Sus scrofa: one gene and its partner. The protein of the gene in region 2 purifies or fractionates together with the protein of the main gene of each other region. This does not show direct contact. Links are inferred from orthologs where the notes say so. Each region holds a gene or a part of one and is shown on either strand. Other genes may lie near its edges.

Region 1 (4,177 bases), on a different chromosome or scaffold from region 2:
AATGGAGCCTGAGCAGCCTTGTTTACAGCTTCTTTCCTGCTCCTGCATCCTGCCAGGCTCCTCTGCCAACCGTAGGCCTCCCTGTTCCCTGCTCTGTGTCCAACCTCCCTGCACTTTTGCCTGCCTCCCCTTCAGCCTCTTGGCTTCCCTACCCCTGCACTTCTGGAAACCTCCCTGCACTTCTGGAAACCTCCTTGCACTTCTGGAAACCTCCCTGACCATCTCCCAGACTCTCTTTGCTCTCAGCCTTCCTGCATCTCTTGCGGCCTTCCTGCACTACACCCTCCCGAGTCCCCTGCACCTCATCCCGGATCTCCATTTCCCAACTTTTTATTGTCTCAGCATCCCCCCCTCCCCCCCCTCCTCTCTTCCTTCCCTTCCTCATTCATCTCCTCTTCCCTCTCCACACCCTCCACCCCCTTCCTCTTCCTGCCTCCTCATCTCCCCTCTGCATCCTCTCCTCCACCCTCCTCCACCGTTTATTCTGCAAAAACTCCAGCACTTAGATCAGGCTGGGGGAGGGGAGCGGTGTCTGGAGAGGGCTCCCTAGCCCGGGCTCGCGACTGTTCTCTGCAGGGACTACCCAGGCCCAGACACCCCCGGGGTGCCTCGGGGTCGCAGAGCTGGCAAGCCGGGCCTCGTTTGTAGATTTGTGCAGGGGTGGCGGGTACTGTTCCGAACAAGCACCTGGTAGAAGGGAGGGGCGAGGCTCTCGAACCCTCCCCGGTCGGCCCGAGCTGACCTGCCCCGCCTGGGCTTTTTAACCCAGTCGGTTTGTTAAAGGCGTCGCGGCTGGAGTCATTCACGTGCTTTGTAACTGTAAGAACAGAAAAAATTGGACCAAAGCTCCCAGCTGCAGGGAGCAAAGAAGGGGCGGAGAGAGCTGCGATTATTTTCTAAGAGGACGAGAGAGGTTTGTTGCACGCGACAGTTCACTGGGGAGGCAGGGTCTGAGCCACAACGCGGTTCGGAGTTGGTTTGGTTTTGGTTTTTTTGTGTTTTTTTTAATATAAAAAAAAGCGTAGGGAAAAAACCTAAAAGTCTTTAAAAAAAAAAAAAAAAAGGATACATCAAACTGATTCTCCCTTTTTGTATGCCGGATGCTGCATGAGTCTGAAACACCAATAAACGGAGACTGCATGATACTCGCCTCCAGCCTCAGTTGGTCCTTACGTGCCTGCGCCGCGGGGCCGGAGGTACAGCCTCCTTTGGGGCACAACCTACTAGGTGATTTGCGCATGCGCCACCCCCGTGGCCATCTTTACTGTGGGCCGAAGCCTATCGTTCCCGAGCGCCTACCTGCGCATGTGCAAGCCTCCCCTTGCTTTCCTCTCCCAAGTAGCTTTGACTAAAGCGGAGCCTCCCGCGCCGTATCTGTGCGCCTGCGTACTTTGACCCTGCGCGGCCCGGGAGGCGGGTCTTAGCTCCAGGTGCGTACGGCCGCTGAGGTGGGGGACCTTCGAGGTGTGGGGAGAGGACGCCGCATCCAGGTGTAGAGCGGCGTAGTGCGGAGGCGAGAAGAGCGGGTCCGCCCGTCTCCGGCCCGGAAAGTGGTTTCTGCCGCTCGCTGGAAACCTCGGAGTACCGGATCTCGATCTGTGGGGGGCGGGGTCCTTGGAGGGGACTGAGCGCCCCCTCCTGGGAACCGGTGGTCTGGTCGCGAGACCGCTGTTGGAGCCTGATTGGTTAGCGAAACAGTCCCCGAACCCCGGGGTGATCCCTTTTTTTGGGAGGGAGTGGAGGGAGGGAGGGGGCGCGGGGGGAATCCCCGGCTTGGTACTCCTGCATCTCCTGGCATCGCTGGGCCCCTTCCCTAGTGGCTTATGTCCCTTGTCCGGGGTCATGGAGACACGGCAGCCACCGCGGCGGCGCCTCTGTCTGAAGAAGGGGAAGTGACCTCCGGCCTCCAGGCTCTGGCCGTGGAGGACACCGGAGGCCCCTCTGCTTCGGCCGATAAAGCCGAGGAAGAGGGGGAAGGAGGCCGGGAGGAGGCCGAACATGAGGGGTCCAGGGCCGAGGAAGTGCAGGGAGAAGCCCCCAGCACTGAGGGGGAAGAGCCCGCCCAGGGAGACTCCGAGGACTGGTGCGTGCCCTGCAGCGATGAAGAGGTGGAGCTGCCTGAGGATGGGCAGCCCTGGATGCCACCTCCCTCCGAAATCCAACGGCTCTATGAACTGCTGGCTGCCCACGGTACCCTGGAGCTTCAGGCAGAGATCCTGCCCCGCCGACCACCTACGCCTGAGGCCCAGAGTGAAGAGGAAAGATCTGATGAGGAACCCGAGGCCAAAGAGGAGGAAGAGGAAAAGTGAGGATTGCTTCCTTGATGCCAGGAGGAAATAGGGAGGGAGGTGGGACCCAGGAGCATGGGAAGTTAGAGGGAGGGGAAGAGCCCGAAGGCCCGGGAGAAGCACCAGTGGAGGTTTGGAAGGATCTCCCTCACCCTCCTCTCTCTCTCCACCTGTCCCAGGCCGCACATGCCCACAGAATTTGATTTTGATGATGAGCCAATGACACCAAAGGACTCCCTGATTGACCGGAGGCGCACCCCAGGTACAGACAAGAGTGGAGAATGGGGGGCGCGGGGGGGCCTCTGTTCCCACTTACTCCGAAAGGGACTCCCTGAAAGAGGTCTTTGAGGCGTTCTCTGATGGCTTAGTGGCAAAGGACCCAGCATTGTCACTGCTTTGGCACAGGTTCGAACCTTGGCCTGGGAACTTCCACATTCCATGGGTGTGGTCAAAAAAAAAAAAAAAAAAAAGGTCTCTGCTTGGTTCCTTGGTAGCTACACAAATCACAGCTTCAGGGGAGAGCGTGCACTCAGTGGTTGCCATCCTTCCAGTCTAGGTGGTACCCAATTTTCTTTTAAAAGATTATCACAGGTAATTCTATCATATTTCCCATTCCTTTGGTCTCATTTCCCCCCCACCCCCATCCCAGAAGTCCGAGTCTTCTTGGTCATTATCTAGCTCCACATCCCTATGCTACTGCGTACACCTCCTAATCTGACCTAGCTTCCCATGCCTAGAGTTTACCGTCAGAGCCATTCTCTCTCTCTCTCTTGTGTGTGTGTGTGTTTAGGGCTGCATCTGCGGCATATGGAGGTTCCCAGGCTAGGGGTCAAATCAGAGCTATAGCTGCTGGCCTACACCACAGCCACAGCAACATGAGATCTAAGCCACATCTGGGACCTACACCACGGCTCATGGCAACACCGGATCCTTAGCCCACTGAGTGGGGCCAGGGATCGAACCCGAATCCTCATGGATACTAGTCAGGTTCGTTAACCTCTGAGCCAAGACGGGAACTCCTCTCAGAGCCATTCTTGATTTCTCTTTCTTTCTTTTTTTTTTTTTTTTTTTGTCTTTTGTCTTTTTTTGTTGTTGTTGTTGTTGTTATTGTTGTTATTTCTTGGGCCGCTCCCGCGGCATATGGAGGGTCCCAGGCTAGGGGTCTAATGGGAGCTGTAGCCGCCAGCCTATGCCAGAGCCACAGCAACGCGGGATCCGAGCCGCGCCTGCAACCTACACCACAGCTCACGGCAACGCCGGATCGTTAACCCGCTGAGCAAGGGCAGGGATTGAACCCGCAACCTCATGGTTCCTAGTCGGATTTGTTAACCACTGCGCCACGACGGGAACTCCCGATTTCTCTTTCTTTTATGTCAACATTCAAACCAGCAGCAAGTCTTGTTAGGTCTGCCTCCACATTTCCAAATTCAGCTACTAGTCTCTGTCTTTAATGTGACACCCTGATCCAAGCCGTCTCTCTTTCAAAACATAAGTCAGCTCAAATCTGTTTTAAATTTTTTTAAATTATTATTATTTTATTTTTAGGGCCTCAAGTGTGGCAAATGGAGGTTTCCAGGCTAGCGGTCCAATTGGAGCTGCAGCCCCTGGCCTACACCACAGCAACACGTGATCCGGCCACATCTGCGACCTACACCACAGCTCACGGCAACACTGGATCCTTAACCCACTGAGCAAGGCCAGGGATCGAACCTGCAACCTCATGGTTCCTAGTAGGATTTGTTGCTGCTGTGCCACGACAGGAACTCCCAATTCTGTTTTAAATTCTCCGAAGGAGGAGTTCCTGCTTGGTGCAGTGGATTAAGAATCTGATTGCAGTGACTTGGTTCACTGGAGAGGGACGGGTTCAATCCTGGGCCTGGTGCTCTGGG
Region 2 (3,540 bases):
CCACACACAGGGGTCGGGGGCTGGCAGCTGCTGTCCGGGGTGCCCCGTGCCTTCACCCTGGTGTGGGTCTTACTGTCCTCTGCTGGCCCTGTCCCTTGTCGGGAAGGGGCAGCTGTGGAGAGGAGGCTTGACTCAGATGAGTCCCTACTGGTGCCCTCACGCTTGTCGCTCCTGGGGCTCTCGGGTCCAGAGGGGGTCTGGGCGTGGGCGGGAGAAGGGGCCCCCGGAGGGGCACTGCCAGGCACATGCAGACCCGTCACCCCACAGCCTGAGGAACACGTGGGACATTTCGCTGCTCCCTCCCCCGGCCCTCAAACACATCAGCCGGGGTGGGGGGTGTCTGTTAACTGGAATCATTTGCTCATTCCTCTTTGCTTCCTCAGTTTCGGATTTTGGTGGTCTCAAAATACAGATTTATTGACTTCATCGAAATCGGTGATACTTAACGACCAGAAGAAAATTGCAGGTGTTTCGAAGCGTCCAGTTTGATGCTTCCCAGGCATCCGCATGTGTCAGCAATTGTTGACTGGGGCTCTGCGTGATTTTTCTTTTCTAGATCTTGCAGTCCCTTTCGGCCCCAACGAAAAGTTTAGAACAGCAGGTGAATCACAGCCAGCAGGGCCACTCGAACGCCGTGCTGTTCAGCCAAGTAAAGGTGACCACGGAGCCGCATCTGCCCCAGCCACCACCACACCCCGTCCTGCACCTGCCACCCCAACAGGCGGTGCAGCTGCAGCAGCAGTTGCCACACGCCGCACAGCAGCCTTACCCGCCGCAGGCCCTCCCCCAGCACCCGTTCCCACAGCAGCCGATGCACCGCCCCCCGCAGCAGCCGCAGCCCCTCCCGCAGCAGCTGCAGCCCCTCCCGCAGCAGCAGGCCCTGCAGCAGCAGCTGCACCAGCTGCAGCAGCAGCAGCTCGCACAGTTTCAGCAGCAGCAGCTCGCGCGCCTGCACCAGCAGCAGCAGACGCAGACCCAGGCGCCCCAGGCCCTCCAGCACCAGCCGCCGCCCCCGCAGCCCCCGCCGCCGCAGCACCAGCACCAGCTGTTTGGACACGACCCAGCAGTGGAGAGTTAGTGTGGATTTCTGCCTTTTCTCTTCCAAGTCTTACGCTTACGTCAGTGCTTTGAGAGCGTTTGAAGGTGGGCTAAGGATTTGTGTCAGGATCATTCTAGACAGTGGGGGACGGGAGTTTCCTAGGACAAGGGGCAGTTCCATCTCTGGGGGACTTGGGGGCGCCTGCCCTCGGGTGAACATTGGTTTTCGTGGAACTTGGGGCCGCGAGAACCGGCTCAGGCGTGAGCCGTTGGTTTCGTTGGTCTCGTCATTGTGGACAGACGGGCGTGTGGCAGCATTGCAGGCGTGCACAGGCGTGTGCAGATGTGCGCAGAGGCCGGCGGAGAGGCCGCGGCCAGGAGGACACCCCTTCCTCTGCGCCCGCCTGCCCGCCCGCCACCCTCCCTGCGGAAGGAGCTGTTGGTGTCTGTGCGCGCACAGCTTGGGCTCAGGGTTTGACGAACGTCTCCTGTTGTCGTTCTCTCGTAGTTCCAGAGGAAGGCTTCCTCCTGGGCTGTGTGTTTGCCATTGTGGATTATCCGGAGCAGATGTCCGACAAGCAGCTGCTGGCCACCTGGAAAAGGGTGAGGTCGTGGGCCGTACGTGTCTGCTCTGCTTGTGTCCTGGGTCCTTCTCGTCACGTTTTCTGTGACCTTGGGCGGAGCACATCTCTGGGCTTCAGTGGTCTTAGGTAGAAGGGGGAAATGTTGGACTTTCTCATTCTCTTTTTTTGGTCTTTTTAGGGCCGCACCCTCAGCGTATGGAGGTTCCCAGGCTAGAGGTCGAGTTGGAGCTGTAGCTGCCGGCCTACACCACAGCCGCGGCAACCCAGATCCGAGCCACACCTACACCACAGCCACAGCAACACCAGATCCTTAACCTCTGTCCCAGTGGGTCCTAGTCGGTCGGGTTCGTTACCTCTGAGCCACGGCAAGAACTCCAGGACTCTCTCAAGATTCATCTCAGGCCTAGAATTTAAGCGACACAGATCACTCGGCTGAGGTTTGGTGACCTCAGATGGGGGGCTGTCGGCTCGCAGGTGCCTCAGTCGTTTCTGCTTCCCAAGGGTGAGTGGGAGAAGCCCTGGAGTCCCAGGTTGGGTGGGACCCCGGCGTCCTCTAGGCCAGGCGCAGGACTGTCGTCCATCGATTGAGTAATGGCTTTGCGCGGTGGCCTTTGAGGAAAAGCAAAGGGGAACGCTTTTTCCTGCGGTGCCACGAATCCGATTGAGTCAGATTTTCTGTTAAAAAGTGACCTTGTACAGGTGCTTCTCCAAAAGCACCCCTGGTGTCTCAGGGCCTGCCCTGTGCCAGGCCAGGTGAGGCCGGGGCGGGGTGGGCTGCACAGACGGCGGTGAGCAGCGTGCCAGGTGCAGGGAGAGCCCAGGGAGGACACAGCTATGTCGTTGCGGGGTTGGGGAGGGGGGTCAGCTGGAGAACAGTCTCCAGGGACGTAGAGGAATAGGAGTTCGTGGGGGGGGGTCCCCGGGAGTGGCACCGAATGGGGGTGGAGGGGCAGAAAGGGGAGGGAGCAGGTCCAGGAGGCAGGAGACCAAGGCCAGGCCATGCCTCCCGAGACCACGCTTAGATGCCCTGTTACAGAAACGGGCATTCAGAAAGGGGATCGGCTTGTTTCCATGGTGAAGGAGGAGTGAGGAAGACCCTGGAGCCGGCGAGCACCGGCCAGGGCTGTGGGCAGGGGTGAGGCTGGGGGGTTACAGCGGCAGAAGCCCGCCCCAAATCGTGGGCGTGTAGAAGGTGATACGCAGAAACCGTTCTTAAAAAAGAAACAGAGCAAAACCCAAAGATCAAAGGTTCGGTGTACGGGGGTTGGTTTTGTTCTCCAATTAAAGGATGAGTCCGAAAGGCCCACTGTTAAATGACAGGAGTGGGGGACAGAGGAAAGGAAGGCCAGAAGACAGCTCTCAGCTGCAGGGTGCTGTCCGCGTGGGAAGGGCTGGAGAGCACTGGCTGGACCACGGCCGGGAGCCAGACGGCAGTGGCGTCATGTCTGCACTGTTCTGAGGGCAGCGCATTTCTCACCTGGAGCAGCCTCTCCAGTCCGTCAGTGAGGCCGTGGGACAGAGGCAATTTCAGGCCCCTGAAGTCCAAACGTCCCCCTCCCCGAGGCCTGCAAAGGGGCAGATGTGGTTGGGGTGCGGGGGCTCTAGGGGGAGGGGAGGGGAGATCGTGGAGGCAGGTGCAGGTGGGGCGGGGCGGCGTCGGGAAGGGTGATGCTGTGCCTTCTGCCGGTTGGAAATTCTCAGGGCTGCTCCCGGCCTCGGCTCCCTCCCTCTGCCAGGGTGGCACGCCAGGGCCTCGCTGGAGAGCGTGGCGACCGTGGAGAGGGAACTGCGCCGCCCCTCCTGTTGCGGCTCTGTCTTAGGGCCCCCGCCCGGCCCTCCACGTCTGTCCAGTCCAGCTCTGGGCCGAGTCCGTGGCTCCTGGAGGGAGGGCAGCAGGGGGCGTTACATTTCTTTGAAG

The links. The genes of interacting proteins can lie anywhere in the genome.
Region 1: the proteins of PAXIP1 (region 2) and PAGR1 purify together in Homo sapiens (affinity purification with mass spectrometry; 6 studies listed by BioGRID and IntAct, with this or other methods). This does not show direct contact. The link is inferred for Sus scrofa from reciprocal best matches to the Homo sapiens genes PAXIP1 and PAGR1.

Annotation. Positions count from the first base shown.
Region 1 is NC_010445.4:18,051,332-18,055,508, forward strand, and holds the start of PAGR1 (PAXIP1-associated glutamate-rich protein 1), read left to right. Parts: upstream 1-1,347; 5' UTR 1,348-1,823; coding exon 1,824-2,305; intron 2,306-2,467; coding exon 2,468-2,550; intron 2,551-4,177. UniProt on the Homo sapiens protein: Its association with the histone methyltransferase MLL2/MLL3 complex is suggesting a role in epigenetic transcriptional activation. However, in association with PAXIP1/PTIP is proposed to function at least in part independently of the MLL2/MLL3 complex.
Region 2 is NC_010460.4:3,090,825-3,094,364, forward strand, and holds part of PAXIP1 (PAX-interacting protein 1), read left to right. Parts: intron 1-556; coding exon 557-1,073; intron 1,074-1,546; coding exon 1,547-1,641; intron 1,642-3,540.